Linked DNA regions of Saccharomyces cerevisiae S288C. Each later gene encodes a partner of the first gene's protein in a complex. Each region holds a gene or a part of one and is shown in the gene's direction. Other genes may lie near its edges.

What was found.
Region 2: the proteins of PSF3 (region 1) and PSF1 are in contact, whole or in part, in a cryo-EM structure (PDB 3JC5), measured with the Saccharomyces cerevisiae proteins. Residues at the interface, in NP_014495.2 of Saccharomyces cerevisiae: Tyr3 (codon at 2,863), Tyr4 (codon at 2,866), Asp5 (codon at 2,869), Ile6 (codon at 2,872), Asp7 (codon at 2,875), Val9 (codon at 2,881), Leu10 (codon at 2,884), Asp12 (codon at 2,890), Gly13 (codon at 2,893), Asp23 (codon at 2,923), Ile24 (codon at 2,926), Pro25 (codon at 2,929), Gly26 (codon at 2,932), Gly28 (codon at 2,938), Tyr29 (codon at 2,941), Trp49 (codon at 3,001), Leu50 (codon at 3,004), Ile53 (codon at 3,013), Leu54 (codon at 3,016), Val57 (codon at 3,025), Gly58 (codon at 3,028), Phe71 (codon at 3,067), Glu171 (codon at 3,367), Lys185 (codon at 3,409); in NP_010296.3 of Saccharomyces cerevisiae: Met1 (codon at 2,996), Tyr2 (codon at 2,999), Gly3 (codon at 3,002), Asn7 (codon at 3,014), Val10 (codon at 3,023), Leu11 (codon at 3,026), Ala13 (codon at 3,032), Lys14 (codon at 3,035), Lys17 (codon at 3,044), Arg22 (codon at 3,059), Lys66 (codon at 3,191), Val67 (codon at 3,194), Lys69 (codon at 3,200), Cys70 (codon at 3,203), Gln71 (codon at 3,206), Phe73 (codon at 3,212), Val74 (codon at 3,215), Leu77 (codon at 3,224), Cys78 (codon at 3,227), Arg81 (codon at 3,236), Arg84 (codon at 3,245), Cys85 (codon at 3,248), Leu87 (codon at 3,254), Ala88 (codon at 3,257), Arg91 (codon at 3,266), Leu92 (codon at 3,269).
Region 3: PSF3 (region 1) and SLD5 share a complex: the UniProt entries of both Saccharomyces cerevisiae proteins name them as parts of the GINS complex.
Region 4: the proteins of PSF3 (region 1) and PSF2 are in contact, whole or in part, in a cryo-EM structure (PDB 3JC5), measured with the Saccharomyces cerevisiae proteins. Residues at the interface, in NP_014495.2 of Saccharomyces cerevisiae: Ile109 (codon at 3,181), Ile112 (codon at 3,190), Met113 (codon at 3,193), Glu117 (codon at 3,205), Lys118 (codon at 3,208), Ala121 (codon at 3,217), Ser125 (codon at 3,229), Leu128 (codon at 3,238), Leu129 (codon at 3,241), Ala132 (codon at 3,250), Gln133 (codon at 3,253), Leu135 (codon at 3,259), Asn136 (codon at 3,262), His137 (codon at 3,265), Ser140 (codon at 3,274), Met172 (codon at 3,370), Ile176 (codon at 3,382), Lys179 (codon at 3,391), Ser180 (codon at 3,394), Ser183 (codon at 3,403), Tyr184 (codon at 3,406), Asp186 (codon at 3,412), Thr187 (codon at 3,415), Trp190 (codon at 3,424), Met191 (codon at 3,427), Phe192 (codon at 3,430), Lys193 (codon at 3,433); in NP_012463.1 of Saccharomyces cerevisiae: Gln9 (codon at 2,144), Ser12 (codon at 2,153), Pro13 (codon at 2,156), Glu14 (codon at 2,159), Gln17 (codon at 2,168), Leu120 (codon at 2,477), Val121 (codon at 2,480), Arg124 (codon at 2,489), Arg149 (codon at 2,564), Gln153 (codon at 2,576), Leu157 (codon at 2,588), Leu160 (codon at 2,597), Lys161 (codon at 2,600), Leu163 (codon at 2,606), Leu176 (codon at 2,645), Asn179 (codon at 2,654), Glu180 (codon at 2,657), Leu181 (codon at 2,660), Pro183 (codon at 2,666), Phe184 (codon at 2,669), Glu187 (codon at 2,678), Ile188 (codon at 2,681), Lys191 (codon at 2,690), Leu192 (codon at 2,693), Glu194 (codon at 2,699), Ile195 (codon at 2,702), Ala198 (codon at 2,711), Ser199 (codon at 2,714).

What each region holds. Positions count from the first base shown.
Region 1 is NC_001147.6:46,008-49,948, forward strand, and holds PSF3 (DNA replication protein PSF3), read left to right. Parts: upstream 1-2,856; coding exon 2,857-3,441; downstream 3,442-3,941. Other genes in the region: SPT20 (Spt20p), read right to left, coding at 1-1,567; PEX11 (Pex11p), read right to left, coding at 1,926-2,636; CTR9 (Ctr9p), read right to left, coding at 3,548-3,941. UniProt on the Saccharomyces cerevisiae protein: Functions as part of the GINS complex which plays an essential role in the initiation of DNA replication by binding to DNA replication origins and facilitating the assembly of the DNA replication machinery.
Region 2 is NC_001136.10:470,162-474,956, forward strand, and holds PSF1 (DNA replication protein PSF1), read left to right. Parts: upstream 1-2,995; coding exon 2,996-3,622; downstream 3,623-4,795. Other genes in the region: ATP-binding cassette transporter SNQ2, read left to right, coding at 1-263; 60S ribosomal protein uL4 RPL4B, read left to right, coding at 1,692-2,780; RAD61 (Rad61p), read left to right, coding at 3,885-4,795. UniProt on the Saccharomyces cerevisiae protein: Required for DNA replication. Functions as part of the GINS complex which plays an essential role in the initiation of DNA replication by binding to DNA replication origins and facilitating the assembly of the DNA replication machinery.
Region 3 is NC_001136.10:1,428,356-1,433,060, forward strand, and holds SLD5 (DNA replication protein SLD5), read left to right. Parts: upstream 1-2,656; coding exon 2,657-3,541; downstream 3,542-4,705. Other genes in the region: 3,4-dihydroxy-2-butanone-4-phosphate synthase RIB3, read right to left, coding at 1-625; PAC11 (dynein intermediate chain), read right to left, coding at 833-2,434; serine/threonine protein kinase PKH1, read right to left, coding at 3,613-4,705. UniProt on the Saccharomyces cerevisiae protein: Required for DNA replication. Functions as part of the GINS complex which plays an essential role in the initiation of DNA replication by binding to DNA replication origins and facilitating the assembly of the DNA replication machinery.
Region 4 is NC_001142.9:303,631-307,981, reverse strand, and holds PSF2 (DNA replication protein PSF2), read left to right. Parts: upstream 1-2,119; coding exon 2,120-2,761; downstream 2,762-4,351. Other genes in the region: YJL070C (metallo-dependent hydrolase superfamily protein), read left to right, coding at 1-11; ARG2 (acetyl-CoA:L-glutamate N-acetyltransferase), read right to left, coding at 126-1,850; JEM1 (Jem1p), read right to left, coding at 2,864-4,351. UniProt on the Saccharomyces cerevisiae protein: Functions as part of the GINS complex which plays an essential role in the initiation of DNA replication by binding to DNA replication origins and facilitating the assembly of the DNA replication machinery.

The sequences.
Region 1 (3,941 bases):
GAAGTAGCTGTTGCTGTGGAGTCAATGGTGCTGTCATCGATATTCTAGCGTTGAAGGGGGTTGGATTGATGTTTGCACTTAAAGCCTGCTGTTTTCTTTTTTCTTTATTTATTCTCCATTGTTCAATAAATTTCAGCCTGCTAAATTGATTATTATCGTTACCCATGGTAGATCCCACTGCAGCCGCAGCCGCTGCCGCTGCCAAAGCTACTTGATTGCCATTAGCCAAACTGTTATTCCTTGTATTTGATGCGGAATTCGAAGTTGAGGACGAAGCTCCACGTACCCCGTTGGAACTGGAGCTAGCAATCTCCATCGCATTCTTGGTTAACGAAACAGCAAACGTGGAGTTGGTTATCGTTGTTGTGCGTTCATTCATGATCAACATCAACTGTTCATAATTTGAACTATGTTGCGGAAATTCATCGCGTTCTTCGATATGCCCTACAACGCCCTTCGTGCCTTCTCTCGTAGACTCAGCACGATGTTCGTGAATGAAGGATTTTTTTTCACTATCCCAATGAGGTTCTGAAAAAGCTGTTTCCTCCAACATGTCTCGGTGCTCATATGGATTTAATGGCACACTTAGTGACAAGTTCCTCTTGGTAAGTGTTAAAATTTCAGATTCAAACTGTTGATAAATGCTATCAGAAAACCTGGCATTATCTGCATAAGACATCATGTCATAATACGTCGTCAAATCATTAGGCTTCAACAATGTTCGATATACTCTAGGTCGTTTGAAGGATGCCTTCTTATTTGCTGTGTTTGCGCCTGTATTTGCCACACCACTATTAGGTTCGGATGGTTGTTGAATCTTGGAATTGTCCTGTGTGCTATTATTATTTGAAGGGGAAGAAGAGCTGTTCAAATTAGGCTTGTTCTCTTTGGGGGTGACATCAACTGTATTAGTATGGTCATAAACCTGTAAAATAAGATTTCCTTCGTAAAATTGGATATTACAGTCCCTTAAGACTTCCATAATAGCATCAGGAATCCTTCCTCTTGCGACGTACTCTAAAAATTCTTTCAAAGTTTCGTTATTTTTGGTTAATATTAAACCGTCACTAGTCAGCTCGGGTTGCTTTTGCTGCTGTTGTAACCTGCTATTTGCAGGAGCGCAAATCTTATAATTATTCTCATAAATATGAAATTCAAAACTGTGTAAATATTGCTCATATTTTTTCAAAATTGAGTCTGCATCTTCCACAAAATTGTAAAGTCTTTTAGGTCTTTTGTTTAAGGTCATAAGCATTTGATAAAACTGAGCCTCATAGTTTTGGAGTGCTTGCTGTTTTCTCTGTTGTTCGAGTAGTCTTTGCTGTAGTAATAATCGTTGTCTTTGCTGCAATTGCTGTATTTGCTCCCTGGTTAAAGTCCTAGTACCTTCATTGGCATTACTATTACTGTTTGTCCTCATAACAGGATGATTTACATTTGCTACCGCTGGGTTCATAGGAGGTGGTACATTAACTGGACTGCCTGGCGAACCCATATTGGATGGTGTTGCGTTCACAGGAATACCAAATACATGGGGATCGTTTCCTGTCGGGCTATTGGCACTCATCCCTGAAATATATAGGCGCAAATTAACCGTAACTATTCCTTCCTAATCCTCTTGAAGGCTACTTTTCTCATTCTTTTATCTCTGCTGGTCGATCATCTTAACACTTCTTCATGATTAATGGTCGTCAGGTATCACGAGCGGGTAACAGAACTAAGCAGTTATAGCGATCCCAGTTTTACTTTAAAGATAGTTAGTTAGTTATTAATGGTGCGGATAACAAGAACTATTGTCACTCAGAATCTTATACAGGTATGGACATGGAACATTGGGTCATATACATAAGAAATAAATTATAAAGAAGGGTCGAATCAAACATAAGCGGAGAATAGCCAAATAAAAAAAAAAGATGAAAAGAAAGCTATGTAGCTTTCCACATGTCTTGCATACCAAGGATAGATGTGACAACACCGGATAGCGCAACATACTCTTCGTTGCTAGACAAGTACCCTAGGTTGTTGAGGACGATGAACGAATCTGCAGCATCCCAGAATAGTCTTCTTAACGCGGTGTACCTGTCTTGGTATGCCTTCCCTAGTACCTTCTTGTGATCCTCATGCTCATCGCCTTGGCTTTGTGATTTTGCCTTGACAAACGCAGCAATCTGGGCATGAGATGTTTGGATCTTACGAAGATCCATAGCCAGACCACTTAGGAGGCCGAACAGCCAACACCAATTGGACCAGCGAGGTATTTTCTTACCGGTAAGAACGGTTACAGGAATCACTTTCAAAATTCTCAAAAGATTGACTTGATCTAACGACAAATATGCAGCAAAGAAGATGTTTTTCAAAACATTGCAGACTCTAACGACGTTGTCGCTGGCCAACTTGTTATCGTAGAATTTAGCAGCTGCCTGCAAGTGGTTTAAAGGCTTCAGAAACCTCAGAAATTTTCTGACTGTGGTAAATTGAGCTTGTAATTGCCTGGCCAAGAGAGATGAGTTCTGTACTGCTAAAAATCTTGCTAAATACTGCAGTAATCTGAGAACCTTTTCTCTGCCAGCTGAGCCATCTAGAAATTTGACGAATCTCGTCACGGAGGGATGATATACCAGTGTATCACAGACCATATTGATTATACTATTACTTGATGAAGTCTTTGAAGTAGTAGATGGAGACAACGGTTTTTCAGTTGTTGGAGTCACTTCCCTTTTATATCTATAAATGATATACCCATCGCTTCGGGTTCTCCGAGATAAATGCCGACGCGTAGTGAAAATCGCAATGGAATTGATGCCAACTTTGTTCTTGGTATTATATTTTTACAATAGAAGGGCAAGCATAGAAAGGATGGGTTACTATGACATTGATGATGTCCTAGCAGATGGGACAGAGTTTCCTTGTAAATTTCAATATGATATTCCTGGTCTTGGTTATTTGGAAAACAACCCAGGACGACCCATAACGAAAAACACTAAACTAAGCCTGCCACTATGGTTAGCAAGAATCCTTGCAATTGTGGGTGGTGACGAAGCCTTGGTAGATGAAGAACCTGTACCTTTTGTGGAACTCCTGCCACCAGATATGTTTTCTACGAAAGTTATGAACGCTATAAAGACCGATCCGGTGGCTCTGGACTTGCATTCCATAAATTCGCATTTCTTCAGTCTAGCCATAAAATGGATAATGTTGTTTAGCGAAAAAGAACTGGCCAATGTCGTTAGTGAGCTACTTTTGCAACGTGCCCAAGAACTTAATCATCATGCTAGTAGTTTATCGATTGATCTCAATGCAGACTCGACCGGAAAAAATTCAGCGAACACTAATATAGCAACTAGCACATTTTTACTGAAACTAGAAGAAATGGAGAAGGAGATATATAAAAAGTCTCATGAATCTTATAAGGACACGAAAAGGTGGATGTTTAAAAAATAACACATCTTTTTCTTTAGAAATACACTATATAAAATAACTATAAAAAAAAGGCAACAGTATAATATTAAGTTTCTTTAAAAGTCTTGATTCTAACCCTCGCCTCTTCTTAGAACAATCCGTCGTTATCATCATTATCATTGTTTTCGTCGTTGTCATCGTTTTTATTTTGTTCCGAACCGCTCATTTGAGCTTCTTCCTCATCACTATCTTCAATAAATTCATTCGATAGTTGAGATTTTTTGCCCTTATTGTGAGAAGGCTTTTTCACCACATCATCGTCATCCTCGTCGCTGTCGGAAAGAGTTTTTTTAGCAGCTTTCCTTCTCTTAGATTCACCGCTATTTTTAGTTTTTGTTGACCTCTTTCTTTTTTGTCTTGGCTTTTCTTCGTCATATTCATTGTCTTTATCAGACAGATCTGAATCATCTTTAACATTATGTTCACTTATGGCCATGGCTTCTCGCTCCTGGATTAACTTTTGTGCCTCATCTTGTAGTTTC
Region 2 (4,795 bases), on another chromosome or scaffold:
AAGCTACTGGTTACATCGAAAATCCTGATGCTACGTCAGATTGTGCATACTGTATTTACGAAGTTGGAGATAATTATTTGACACATATCAGCTCTAAGTATAGCTACTTGTGGAGAAATTTTGGAATATTTTGGATTTACATTTTCTTCAATATCATTGCTATGGTTTGTGTGTATTACCTCTTCCATGTAAGACAATCTTCCTTCCTAAGCCCCGTATCTATACTCAATAAAATTAAAAACATAAGGAAAAAGAAGCAGTAATGTGGGCTTCAGATAACTTAACATTTTGTGCATTCATCTGCCTTTAATTCTTAATTCTCATTTTACACTATAGAAGAAGACACGAGTACATCTCGTTTCACTTTTATACTGACATTCATATAATTAACAATAAGTATAGTTTATAATAGATACAAAAAAAAAGTCTTGTATTACCATGTTAATAGTTACATTGTGTATAACTCTCGTAGTTTTCAAAAGTCAAGTCTTGTTGAGTAAAAAAGTTTATTTTACCCTTGGGTTTCGACTCAAAATATTGGATTACGATCTAAGCAAGGTGTTGCAAGTACAAGCTAAACGAAAAGAATAAGACAAAAAAACTGAGGCTCCTCAAACTGGTCACCAAAATTGAACTTCAAATTTAGTGTTTCTACATTTTTTCTATTTTGTTTCATTTTTATATCCCTTTCATATGATTAACAAAACTTGGTAAATTATCTGGCCTGTCAACCCTTACCTGTCCTGTCCCTTCTTTAGACAAAAGAAAATAAAAAAATTGGACACAGGAAAACAACAGCCTCCATACCACAGTTTCTGTGTCTTATTCTATTTAGGAAGGTCATTCTATATTACTCAAAGGAAAGACATCCAGTAGAAACAATAGTGTTGCTAAACGGTTAACTTGCCCACTAATGTCTGCTTATATTTGCAAATCACTATTGTGGCAAGTCATACCCTGGAGCTTTGTGATTGAACAACATATACTATATTGCAGCAGTATTTTTCAGAAATAATATTCGAAAGAAGTGAGAACAAGAAATGACCACGATAGATTACAGCTGACCAACTTAGAAAATGAGTAAACTTATTTTTGTCTTAAGAAGTGCATGCAGCGACCTCTCCCAATTACCAAATTGTAATTTTTTATTATTCTTTTTTTCTGCATAGTTCATTCGACAGCTTGGTTGAAAAGAGTGATAAAAATTTTCTGTTTTATGAAAAGTTTTCATAACTCTATTAAGGGTTGCACTATAAGAACATTTCGCAATAAAGCAACCCTTATCCGGACCCTACATGTTCCGTAAGTCCTGCCTTATTTATCGTAACGGTATTCATCTTACAGGAATTTTTGAATATAGATAACGTTAGTTTTGATAGATTGGAACAAATGGGAAAATAACAATTTAGAAGCGCTTTCCTCAGCGTATCTGAATTATAAAACAACTGCGCATATTGCTAAGAACTGCACTGAAGGCATGAATTGTCTATTCCGTTAGAAATATAATTATTTACGAAAGCATCGCGCAGACGCAATTTTTTTAACATTTTTTTTTTTTCAAGTACTCTGGAAAAGTTTTCATGAAGATCATGAATACGTTACACTACTATTATTATTGAAAATAATATTTCTTTCCTATCAGCAATCGCTTACATATTCATAGTCATTTACTAGGGTATATACCAATAATAATGTCCCGTCCACAAGTTACTGTTCACTCTTTGACTGGTGAAGCTACTGCCAATGCCTTGCCATTGCCAGCTGTCTTCTCCGCTCCTATCCGTCCTGACATTGTCCACACTGTTTTCACCTCTGTGAACAAGAACAAGAGACAAGCTTACGCTGTTTCTGAAAAGGCTGGTCACCAAACCTCCGCTGAATCCTGGGGTACCGGTCGTGCCGTCGCTCGTATTCCAAGAGTTGGTGGTGGTGGTACCGGTAGATCCGGTCAAGGTGCCTTCGGTAACATGTGTCGTGGTGGTCGTATGTTTGCTCCAACTAAGACCTGGAGAAAGTGGAACGTTAAGGTTAACCACAACGAAAAGCGTTACGCCACTGCTTCTGCTATTGCTGCTACTGCTGTTGCTTCTTTGGTCTTGGCCAGAGGTCACAGAGTCGAAAAGATTCCAGAAATCCCATTGGTTGTCTCCACTGACTTGGAATCTATTCAAAAGACCAAGGAAGCTGTTGCTGCTTTGAAGGCTGTTGGTGCTCACTCCGACTTGTTGAAGGTCTTGAAGTCCAAGAAATTGAGAGCCGGTAAGGGTAAGTACAGAAACAGAAGATGGACTCAAAGAAGAGGTCCATTAGTTGTCTACGCTGAAGACAACGGTATCGTCAAGGCCTTGAGAAACGTTCCAGGTGTTGAAACTGCCAACGTTGCTTCTTTGAACTTGTTGCAATTGGCTCCAGGTGCTCACTTGGGTAGATTCGTTATCTGGACCGAAGCTGCTTTCACCAAGTTGGACCAAGTCTGGGGTTCCGAAACCGTTGCCTCCTCCAAGGTCGGTTACACTTTGCCATCCCACATCATCTCCACTTCTGATGTCACCAGAATTATCAACTCTTCTGAAATCCAATCTGCTATCAGACCAGCTGGCCAAGCTACTCAAAAGCGTACTCACGTTTTGAAGAAGAACCCATTGAAGAACAAGCAAGTTTTGTTGAGATTGAACCCTTACGCCAAGGTCTTTGCTGCTGAAAAGCTAGGTTCCAAGAAGGCTGAAAAGACTGGTACCAAGCCAGCTGCTGTTTTCGCCGAAACCTTGAAGCATGACTAGAATTTATAGTATAGATCTTTAACTTTAATTTAAATATCTTTGTTACTAGTCTTTAATCAAACCTTTTTGTTTTCTTTAAAGTCGAAACGTCAGATTTGCTCAAAACCTTCTTGTCGTTACAACGCGAAAATTGTAATTTAAAATAACTAACGAAGAAAGCTGAAAAATAGATGTGAGGGAAAATCGTTTATAAACGGCCATGCTCACAGAGAATCATGTATGGAGATTTAGGTAATAAATTAGTATTAGAAGCTAAAAGAACAAAACAGCTGTACGCAAGAAGTAATCAAGATGTTAATTTACCCATGTATCATGAAGATATAATACGAAATATTCTGAAAGAAGTTTCAAATTTACGTAAAAATACGGAATATCTTAAAGAACAGCAGCAACTAGGAATGCTAGATGATAAGGTGGCTAAATGCCAGTATTTCGTTACCTTGTTATGTATGGAAAGGAACAAGAGATGTCTCTTAGCATACCAAAGGTTGAGAACAGACATACTAGATTCTATGGCTTGGAATAATAATGGTCTGGACTTGATGAGTAGCATTACGTTTAGCCAACAAGACACAAATAACCTTTCTCATCAAGAGCAGGAATATTTGAAAGAATACTGCGATTTAATTACTGATTTAAAAAGTGGTGACTTGGTCGATATTGATTTATCCGGCTCTTTAGTGCCTCCGAGCGATGTATTTATTGATGTTAGAGTGCTCAAAGATGCTGGTGAGATTCAAACTGAATACGGCGTGTTTAACCTTATTAAAGACTCCCAGTTTTTCGTAAGGCAGTCTGATGTAGAGCGTTTGATTCAACAAGGTTATTTGCAGAAGATATGATAAAATGCTTTCAAGCTGGTCTTCATGATATATAATCCTTTATAAAGCAAGATACATACCTCCATTCTAATTTACTCCCTTCTATGTTTACTTCAGCCCTTTTTAATAGATTTCGTAAGTTTTGGTTGAGGAGGCTTTCTGAGCTTTACGCGACTTTATTGATGACGAAGCTTCACTTTATTATAATAATGAAAAACTGCGCAGAGAAACTATCGCAAAACGAAACCATCTTCTTACCCTAAAGCATCCTGTTTCTGAAAAAATGAGAGCATATGGAAAGAGGGGCCCAGTTCTCAGAACTCCTTTTAGATCTAATAAAGGCTTGCCATCTTCTTCCGATGTTGAATTTAGTGATGACGATGTAAACTCCGTGATTCCTGATGTAAGTTCTACCATTTCGAGCAGTATTGCAGACCACCCGATAGAGGGATTATTGGACGAGCCTAGAAAGGCTCAGGACAGCTCGTCGTCATTTGATGGTGCAAATGAGAAGCCCTCTTCACAACTGGACTCAAAAAGGAATGACCAAAACGTCAAAATTATCACTAGCAGTGATACCTCAATGGCATTTATGAAAGATGAAAAGTTAAGTGCCTTTAATTTCCTTGATGGTTCAAAGGCATCTAAGAGAAAAAGAAGAAGAACTTACCAAAAGCATGATGCGAACATAACGTCTTCAATTGAACCAGACGTACAAGATGAAGACAGCATTACAATGCACAATGAATTTGAATCAATAAGGAAAATATACAATGACATCAATGAATTCATATTGAAGCTACCGAGAGCTGACGATGATATACTGAATAAAATGCTTGAAAATGAGATGAAGATGGACGACTCTATAGAGAATAATAGCATACGCACATCCAAAGACAAAAAATATGGCAAATTTAGAACAATATTAATAAACAAAAATAAAGAAAATGAAATAATGGGAGAAGAGGTAGATCAGAAAGCTAACACCTTGTCCCTAAATAACGCTGACAACAGTAATGCTGAAAAAGAAGGATTAACTTCAACAAATCACTACAACGAATTAAAAAATATGGGAGATACAATAAAATACCAGGATGATATTGAGTTTCTTCTGTCCAATTCTAAAAGTAATGACAATACTACGGTACCAATCAATGAATACTTTAAAAAACTTTTAAATTTATCCCTAATGAT
Region 3 (4,705 bases), on another chromosome or scaffold:
ATTTCTTCAAATATTGGGCCAATTCTTCGATGGAGATCAAAGGAATGCCATGTTTCTTACCAAACGCTTGGCAGTCATTTAATCTCATCATAGTTCCTTGTTCGTCATCGTTAACCAATTCGCCAATAACAGCGACGGGACTTAGTCCACTTAGTTTACACAAATCGACACCGGCCTCAGTGTGGCCTCTTCTCTGCAAAACACCGCCATCAGCGGCTCTCAAGGGACAGATGTGCCCTGGTTTTAAAAATGATTTTGGCGTAGAGGAAGAGTCTGCAAGAGCCCTACAAGTCATCGACCTGTCGTGAGCAGAAATACCTGTGGTAGTGCCTTGGGCTACATCTACAGTTATTGTGTATGCAGTTCCATGCCTGTCGTCATCATTGGATTCAAACTTCATGCCTGTTCTCAGTAGTGGAAGGTCCAACTTATCAGCAATGGCATTCGTCATAGGTGCACAGACGTAGCCTGAGGAATGGCGTACAAGAAAGGCCATTTGTTCAGTGCTGACATTTTCAGCAGCGCAAATAAGATCACCTTCATTTTCACGACCGGCATCGTCCATAACAATTACAAACTTATTCTGCTTGAAGTGTTCTATAGCTTGATCAATTGGTGTAAACATTTTCGACGTTGCCTTTTCTTCTTTTCCTTTCCTTTTTTTTAGCCTTCTGCTTTTTGTTGGAGATATTTACATTCACCTCACATATATACGCCAATGAAAATTTCACAATAGCACGTATATTAATAATAGCCTTGCTTTTTTTTATCAATTCTCGCTAAGAAATTACTCATCAGGCAATAACCTATGCTCACCCGCCTCGAAGCGGCGTTAGGAGATAACAGTGGCCGTGTAGAGGGACGTCTTAGCATCGAAAGCCCAATTTACAACAACGAGGCGACCATCTGCACACCACACTTGACACCGTAGAGTGCGACTATTTTCCCCTCCATTGTTTTTTTCGAGCCAGCGTGCACGTAGTACGGGCCCCCCTAACAACAATGGCGCCCCTATGATAGCTTTCCCTGCTCGCGCGTCCCACAGCCGCACCGTCCAGTCCGTGGAACATGATAATAGAAGCATTAGCCGCCGAGCATCGTCCCAATGAAACTCTAACCCGGTTACCCTCGTAGAGTGGTTTTCTGCAGGTTGGAACCCATTGTTGTCCAAAGAGAGGTACAGCGGCCCAGGTTGGTCCCAGAAAACCTTGTATATACCACCGTCTTCGCCACCGATCCAGACGTACTGCGGGTCCTCACTCGTGTACGCCATGCAAGCTATACCTACCTCATCAAACTTTGCCAACCGCTGCAATCGCTCCGTATATGTGCAAGTATCATTCTCCAAAGATAAAAGCTGTGATAGCGGTACAGGACGGAGCTGCTGTGGCTTCCGCAAAACAGTCAAGTCCAGGCAGCTCAACTCCATAATATTGCCATTATCAGCTGCCACAAGTACTCTCTCTTGATCTTGCACGCTGCTTGTTTCAATTACAGCCACCACTGGGTGCTGAAAGTAGTGTCTTGCCACCATATTTCGCTGCACGACATACACTACCGGTGTTTCTGGCTTTTTCTGTTTCAATCTAAGCTCGTACAATATGATCTTGCCCGTCAAGGTCGCCAACAAGATTGATATTACATTGCTTTCCGGATGATACCGACGGAGGATCGTGGCTGTCATGATCCGCGTACCACGGAACTCTACCATATCTATCAAGAGGCCGTTGCGTCCGCTGGCATTATCGCACTTGACTACATTCACCACAGACCACGCCGCTTCGCTGCTAGCATACTGTAGGTCTGCCGGCGGCAATCGTAGATAAACCACAACCAAGACGCCTTTTCCTGGGTCATACTCCTGAGCGATACAATCGCAGTCTGTCTCTGATTGTAAATTCTCACTGACCATGTTCCATTGCATGAGGTTGTCTTTATCCTGTTGCATGTTCGATGGCGCCTGCTGGCCTGACGCAGAAACCTCTGTCTCCAGCCGCGCAAAACTAGCGTTGCTCAGCGTTGCCGCCGCCTCTTCAACAAGAAAAGGTTTGGCTAGTTCTAACCTTGGCTGGTCGTTTTCAGCTTTGTCTTTATTATTTTCGTCGGCAGCAGTAGTTTCAATGGCGACAGCATCAGTAGTGGTGTGATTTTCATTTTCTTGCAGTTGTTCTTCCTCAATTTGATCTGTTTGAATGCCTTTGTCGTATGTTATAACCTCCTTACGTCGAAGATATGCAGATTGGGGCTCTTGAATCTTTGAGCCTTCCTCCATGTCGGTCTGCACTGAAACGCTGACCATGGTTGCCTTAGCGTGCACCTCTGTGGGATGGTGGCCCATCGTCTCGCTCCCAGGGAACAAGCTGGCTTGTTTTCGCCTCTCACGCAGCTCTTTCAATTGTCTCCTTTTTTCCTCCAGTTGCTTCAATCGCTCCATCTTAATGTTTCAATCCTTCTTCCTCTTTGGTTGATTAACCAACTGTGATGCTCTTTTTTCCCTTTTCTCTTTGTTTACGGCAAAACACGAAAACTAGTTCATTTCTTTTTCTTTTCGCCTTGGACTAGTACTGAAAATTTCAATAGCATTATATTTGAGCCATAGGTAAGAAAAACCAAATTTGTTAGTATTGGGAAGGAGAATAAGATACCTGACTCGGTGATGGACATTAACATAGACGATATTCTTGCAGAACTGGATAAGGAAACTACTGCTGTCGACTCTACCAAGATCACGCAAGGTTCTTCTTCCACTACCCACAGAGATGCAAATACAATAGTGGGTTCGTCCTTAGACTTGAATGACAAGACTCAGATATATGTCTCTCCCCAGCAGGATTTTTCTGACTTGATGAAGTCTTGGAAAAATGAACGGTGTTCGCCAGAACTCTTACCATATCCTCATCAGTTGATGAAAAGATTATTGAATCGAATATCCATGCAATCTCAATTAATTGAAAACATTTCAATGGGATTCCTCGATATGCAAAATGCTTCTAATGCGAACCCGCCTATGCCTAACGAATCTAAATTGCCTTTACTCTGCATGGAAACTGAGTTAGAAAGATTGAAATTTGTTATTAGAAGCTACATACGATGTAGGCTAAGCAAAATTGACAAATTCTCACTTTATTTGCGCCAATTAAATGAAGATGAAAATTCGCTGATCTCTCTTACAGATTTACTATCCAAAGATGAAATCAAATACCATGACACGCATTCCCTGATCTGGTTGAAACTAGTCAATGATTCTATCCTGAAATACATGCCCGAAGAACTTCAGGCTATTAATGATACAGAAGGTAGCGTAAACATGATAGATGAGCCCGACTGGAACAAATTTGTCTTTATACACGTTAACGGCCCACCAGATGGTAAATGGAACGAAGATCCGCTATTGCAGGAAAACGAGTTCGGTAAACCTTGCTACACGGTCACAATACCCGATTTAAAGGAAGAGGTTGAACTCACTATTGGAAGTATTTACGTTATGAGATATGAAGTCATTAGGGATCTGCTGAGAGACGACAAAGTTGCTCTTATTTGAACTATTATGCATTACACTTTCCCCTTCACCATGTCTTACATATGCATATATATATATTATCAAGCACAGTTTCATTTTTCATCTGTCCGTGTCATGTTTTTCCGCATTTGTGTCGATCTTGCCAGCAATTTTGAGTAATTAGATGACGATCGGGTCTGCAACGAAGTGGGACGTTTTGTGTGAAGTGCGCCTTCTTCGGGTGTCTTTAAGATGCAACGGTCCGGTAAACCATTTATTAGCCTATTCGATTGAGGTACGGGAGGAGCTTGATTCTTTTTTTTTGTATTCTGTCTTTTTTGAAGAATGAACTTATCAAACATTTTATGGTCCGACTTCGGCGATACTACTTTAGGTTTGGCGGTCATTCCATTATGTATTAATTTCCATAGTTTCATTAAAACTGCTCTCTCTTTGCATCCTATGAAAATCGTCCTGGAACCGTCAATTTCAAGGACTTGATCACTTATAAAGCGTATCTTCTCAACGTCATTCAACTCTAGTTCGAATTGCAATTCAAATTCCTGTTCTTCCCACATGCTGAGACTTCTTCTCTTGACAAAAACAAGTGCTCTGCCTAGGTTTGTTATTAGAAACATTTTCTTGTAAAATTTGCCTGCACTATCAGTAGGAGGCTCGATATCAAGAGGGTTCTTGTAGTCCAGAGCCACGTTCTCAAGACCTACAGGTGAGTCCTCTAAGTTTCGTGTGGAAAGCGCTACCTCCTTCATCAACAAGACACGTTCATCCATATTTTGCAAGTAGCGTGACCAGAAGGCGTCAGAAGAGCGACTTCTATTATCTTTCCCCCGTGATGTAGTAGAAATTGAAGGAGATGATACAGATGCGCGATTTTTTGAAACCTTCTTTTGAATTACCTCGCGATCTGTGTTGTTGGAGGCAGATCTAACAGATGTGCTTGACTTGCTCCCCAATTTGGGTTGACTTGTATAATCTTTATTGAATGCGGCGGTTGCTGCAGTCATACTGATCACAGAATGCTCTTGAGAGGTCGCTGCTGGTGCTTGCAGGGGAGTATCTGCATGTCCATTACCAGCCAGCTGAAGGTTGGCCATTTTGACAGTGGTATCAGATTCAGAAACCTTTTGCAGGGGCTTCATCGCCTCTGCATTTATTTTATATGGCTGTATCTCCGGTGGATTATCA
Region 4 (4,351 bases), on another chromosome or scaffold:
CCATTTGGTAGGGTAAAGTGAAATATCAACAACTTTGCATAGTAAGATATATATATTTATATAGATACCTTAAAAACTGAAAATGAAAACTTGAAAGTTAAGGAGGAGGAGAATGCGTCTTTGTTTCATGAAATATTTTTTTCATTTTCCCAACTTGGCTTGATGTCCCTGACAGACCTCATGAATTCTCTTAAACGTTTCTTGTCACGTAGTGCCCTCTTAGCGTATTGAGGGTTACCGTAGTAAAATAGTTTAAATTGGCTTTGCTTTTCATCACAGTGTTCGGGGTCTAAGTCAATCGACAAATCTAGCACAGCAACGCTACGTTGAAAATACCACTTGTTCACCACATTGTCTTTTCTGCTTCTCCAAAGTATCTCATTAGGAAATTTTTTGAACATCAAATTGAAGATTATATCAGATATACCCAGCGAGCCTTTCAAGTGTGGTAGAACGGCGAACTTATCGAGATAAACAAAGGAATTTTCCTCCGAGCCTTCATAGGTAAGAATTGCAATGCCTTCATAATCACCTATCACAATAATTGTAGCTATTTTTCCATTAATCCTTTTTATGTAGTCATGCAAATCCAAAGATCTTTTAAAGCTCTGATCGATGATGGATTTAAATTTGTTGATATCTAGTTTTGGACTATTGCTCGAGGGTTTTGCTCCTTTCTCAGGTACGTGAAACTTCTTTGGAAGCCCAATTGAGTTGAATTGAGTCAGCGTCTTATAGTCATAAGTTTTGATATGGACGCCCTTTTTGAGAACAGTTGTCACTAAAACTGCATCTGAGTTAGAAGGAGCTGCATTTACCTGTTGGGAAGGCAATTCATACCATGCGTGATCATCAAACATGTTGGCTGGTGAGTCTATCTCGCCGTCCTTTTTTTTAAACCTTGGTAAAGAAGAAGAAATTAGCGATCGGTCTGTCAATAAATTATATACTAAAGGATTTTTCCTATCTGATGATAGTGCGGCAGCTTTGACAGTTGTAATCAGTCCCGTTGCTGTAGCCGCTAGATTTGATAAAACTTTGTCCATCAATAACAGGTTTTCTAAATGATCATGGTATTCACATTCTAAGGAAGATATCTCATCTTTTTTAACGTACACCTCCATTCTGTGTAACAGGTTTTGGGAGCGTGGCTCTCGTTTGGTTAGAGTGCTTATATTGTGAGATAATGACGAGGACAAATGCTCGAGTTCCTGAGAAAGATTGATGAATACATGAGCGTTATCATTTCTCTCTCCCGAAGGTATACCTCCGGCATTATTTAGAATGAAGAATTTGTCAATGTGTGGAATATTCCCTTGGCACAGGCAATCCATAAATTTTACAACATCCTTTGTCATGAATTCTGAAGCAGTCTCTTCATTATACACATAAGGTTTCACAATTGGTATAAAATTGGAATTTCCAATATCAAAGAAACGACTCTCTTGCGAAAAAACAGAATGATATAACCCAGTGCGGGATTTAGTAAGACCCTCCTTAAGGTGAAGTGGCTTTAAATCTGCTTCTGTAACGATACTGTCAAGTAACTCTGCCTGTATATTTACATGAGTTGGCGACGGCGGAATTACAAACATAGGTCGCAAACCTAGCATTCCTAGTCTCTTTATGACACTTGAAAACTGGGACAAAATCGCTGGTGCGACTTTATGCAGGTCCCTGATAAAAAACAAACAATGATTATGCTGCCCACTATCATTTGTATATTTTGAGAGATAATCCTTAGCCTCTCGTTTTGTAGCGGTTGTATTCAGAACTGAAAGGATCAAGTTTTTTGAAGATGCATTGGGTTGATCATACTTGAGTTCATGCGCGAATATTCTCCTCCACATGATAAAAGTAACCGACTAGTGTCCTAGATTGACGGTCCTAGCTTCAAATGTGTTAACTTTCACAATTTATGTCGAACGTGCTTATGACTCCATGGGAAGATCAGTGATGACTAACCTTTTTTTTCTCCAGCGTGAAATTTCTTGTGATATTTTCCATTTAATGAAAAATCAGTCGCCTAAAGTGTAACTATGAAATGGTTAACAAAAAAGAGTTTTATACTTAGAGAGGATCAACGGCTGATCTGAAATAAGACTAGTTTCATAGACGCATGTCACTACCGGCACATTTGCAGCAGACTTTCTCACCAGAAGAAATACAGTTCATTGTGGAAAACGAGCCAATAAAGATTTTTCCCAGAATAACAACACGCCAAAAAATTCGTGGCGATGATAGAGGAACTGGAAACCACACCCGCTGGCAACTTATTACTACAGATGACAAAGCTTTAAATAATATGGTAGCCATGCGTTCTACAGAAGTGGTTCTTTGGATCGCTCTATTACTGAAGCAACAATCCAAGTGCAGTATTGTAGCACCACAGTGGTTAACGACGAAAGAGCTTGATAGAAAAATACAATATGAGAAAACTCATCCGGATAGGTTTAGTGAGTTGCCGTGGAACTGGCTTGTCTTGGCACGTATACTTTTCAATAAAGCTAAGGATGATTTTCATGACCCCATTCACGAATTACGTGGTAAAATACAAGACTTAAGGGAAATAAGGCAGATCAAAGTGTTAAAAGGCCTTAAGTATTTGAATGAATCTCATTTACAATTGGATAATTTAAGTCTATTAGAAATCAATGAGTTGAGGCCGTTCATTACTGAAATCATGGATAAACTGCGAGAAATTCACACAGCATCTCTTACCGCTGGTACTGAAAATGATGAAGAAGAATTCAATATTTAAAAAAGTGCTGGCTTTGCAATAATTAGAACTTTCAGTGATATGCGTATGTATATATATGTACTTGTTGTGGTATCCTAGTTAATGGGCATAGAATGTATTTCATCAAAGCCCAAAATTCATTTTAAAGCCATTTCCGAATGGGAAGCCACTTCCTGGATTTTTGAACATGTTATTTTGCCTAGGCCCCTGAGGAAAAGTGTTGCGGCGGGGGTTTGATCTGGAAAGATCGTATTCCTTCCTTTTATCGTCATCACTTAATGTTTCGTACGCTTCATTGATTTGTGACATAGTTTCGTGAATTGATTCTTGTTTGTCGTTATGGTTGGCCTTTATTTTGTCTGGGTGGTATTTTTTGGTTAAATTTAAATATGCTTTCCTTATTTCTTTCGAACTAGCACTAGGCGATACTCCAAGAATTTTATAATAGTCCTTTTTTGGGTCGTAGTTAGGCGCTGCTGGGGGTGCTTGATGTCGTTGGTGTTGTTGCTGCTGTTGTTGTTGTTGGAAATATTGCTGGTTGAAATTCCGATGTTTATGCTCTTTATAGGTTTGTAATTGTTTCTGTAATAATCGGAAGTTCTTCATCACGTATGGATTGGTCGACTCTGAGAGGCCGTTATCTTGGAAAAATTTGTTTATCTGGTCATATAATTGCTTTTTGAACTGTGAATGAGGTTTAGACCTACTTTTATTAAGTATTGAGTTTACCATATACATCAGCAAATGAGGATTGGAATTCCATACATCACTCAATACCGTCTCAGGTAAAGGTTTTTGCTCGGACTTAGCATCCTGATAGTGTTTCCATGTTTCTAGTGTTAGTGAATGCCTCAAACTCTTTTTACAGAACGGCGCAGCCAGTTTAGCTCTCTTGACGTCCGGACTCATGCTAGAAGCCTGACAAAGAATGGAATCAATGTATACTAGATAATCGGTATGATAGTATGATTTTGGTTTGACAAAACCATCGGTTATTGGGGGATCTTCGAATAAATTTTTTGCCAAAGGTCTCGACAGTTGAACGTCTTCTATCAATTGTTTGATAATTTCCTCTAAAAAGAAGTAGTTGTTTTTAAAGTTTGTATCTTTGTTAAGAATTTTCATTGGTGTAATAAATGGCTTCTTATCCTTCAAATAAAATTCAATAATTCTATCCCAACTTCTAAACTTTTTGTTCTCAAATGCATATGTTGCTGGATCCAGGATCTGTCTTTTTGATGGATTCACCTTGTTCAATTTGGAAATAGTCAGGCTTAGTTTTTTACATTTATCATAGTCCATATCAATGGAAAGGCATTTTCTTATATTGAACGACGCATCTGAGTTAAGTACAAAGGTCTGTAAAACAGATATGACATAATGAATCGAAAGTCTTGTATCTATGCTTAAGCTAGCCAAATGCTTGTCGAGGATTGTTTCGTAATCCAAAATGATAGCAGCAGCTAACGAAACGTCAATTTCTTCAGCTAGTTTGTGAAAAAGAACATCGATGTGCGTGGAGAGGACGTTAACATCGTACGGCGTTATGCGTAGCAGCTCAGAAATATCTTCCTCCACAGAAACGTCTTTGGATGATATTTTGTTTCTGAT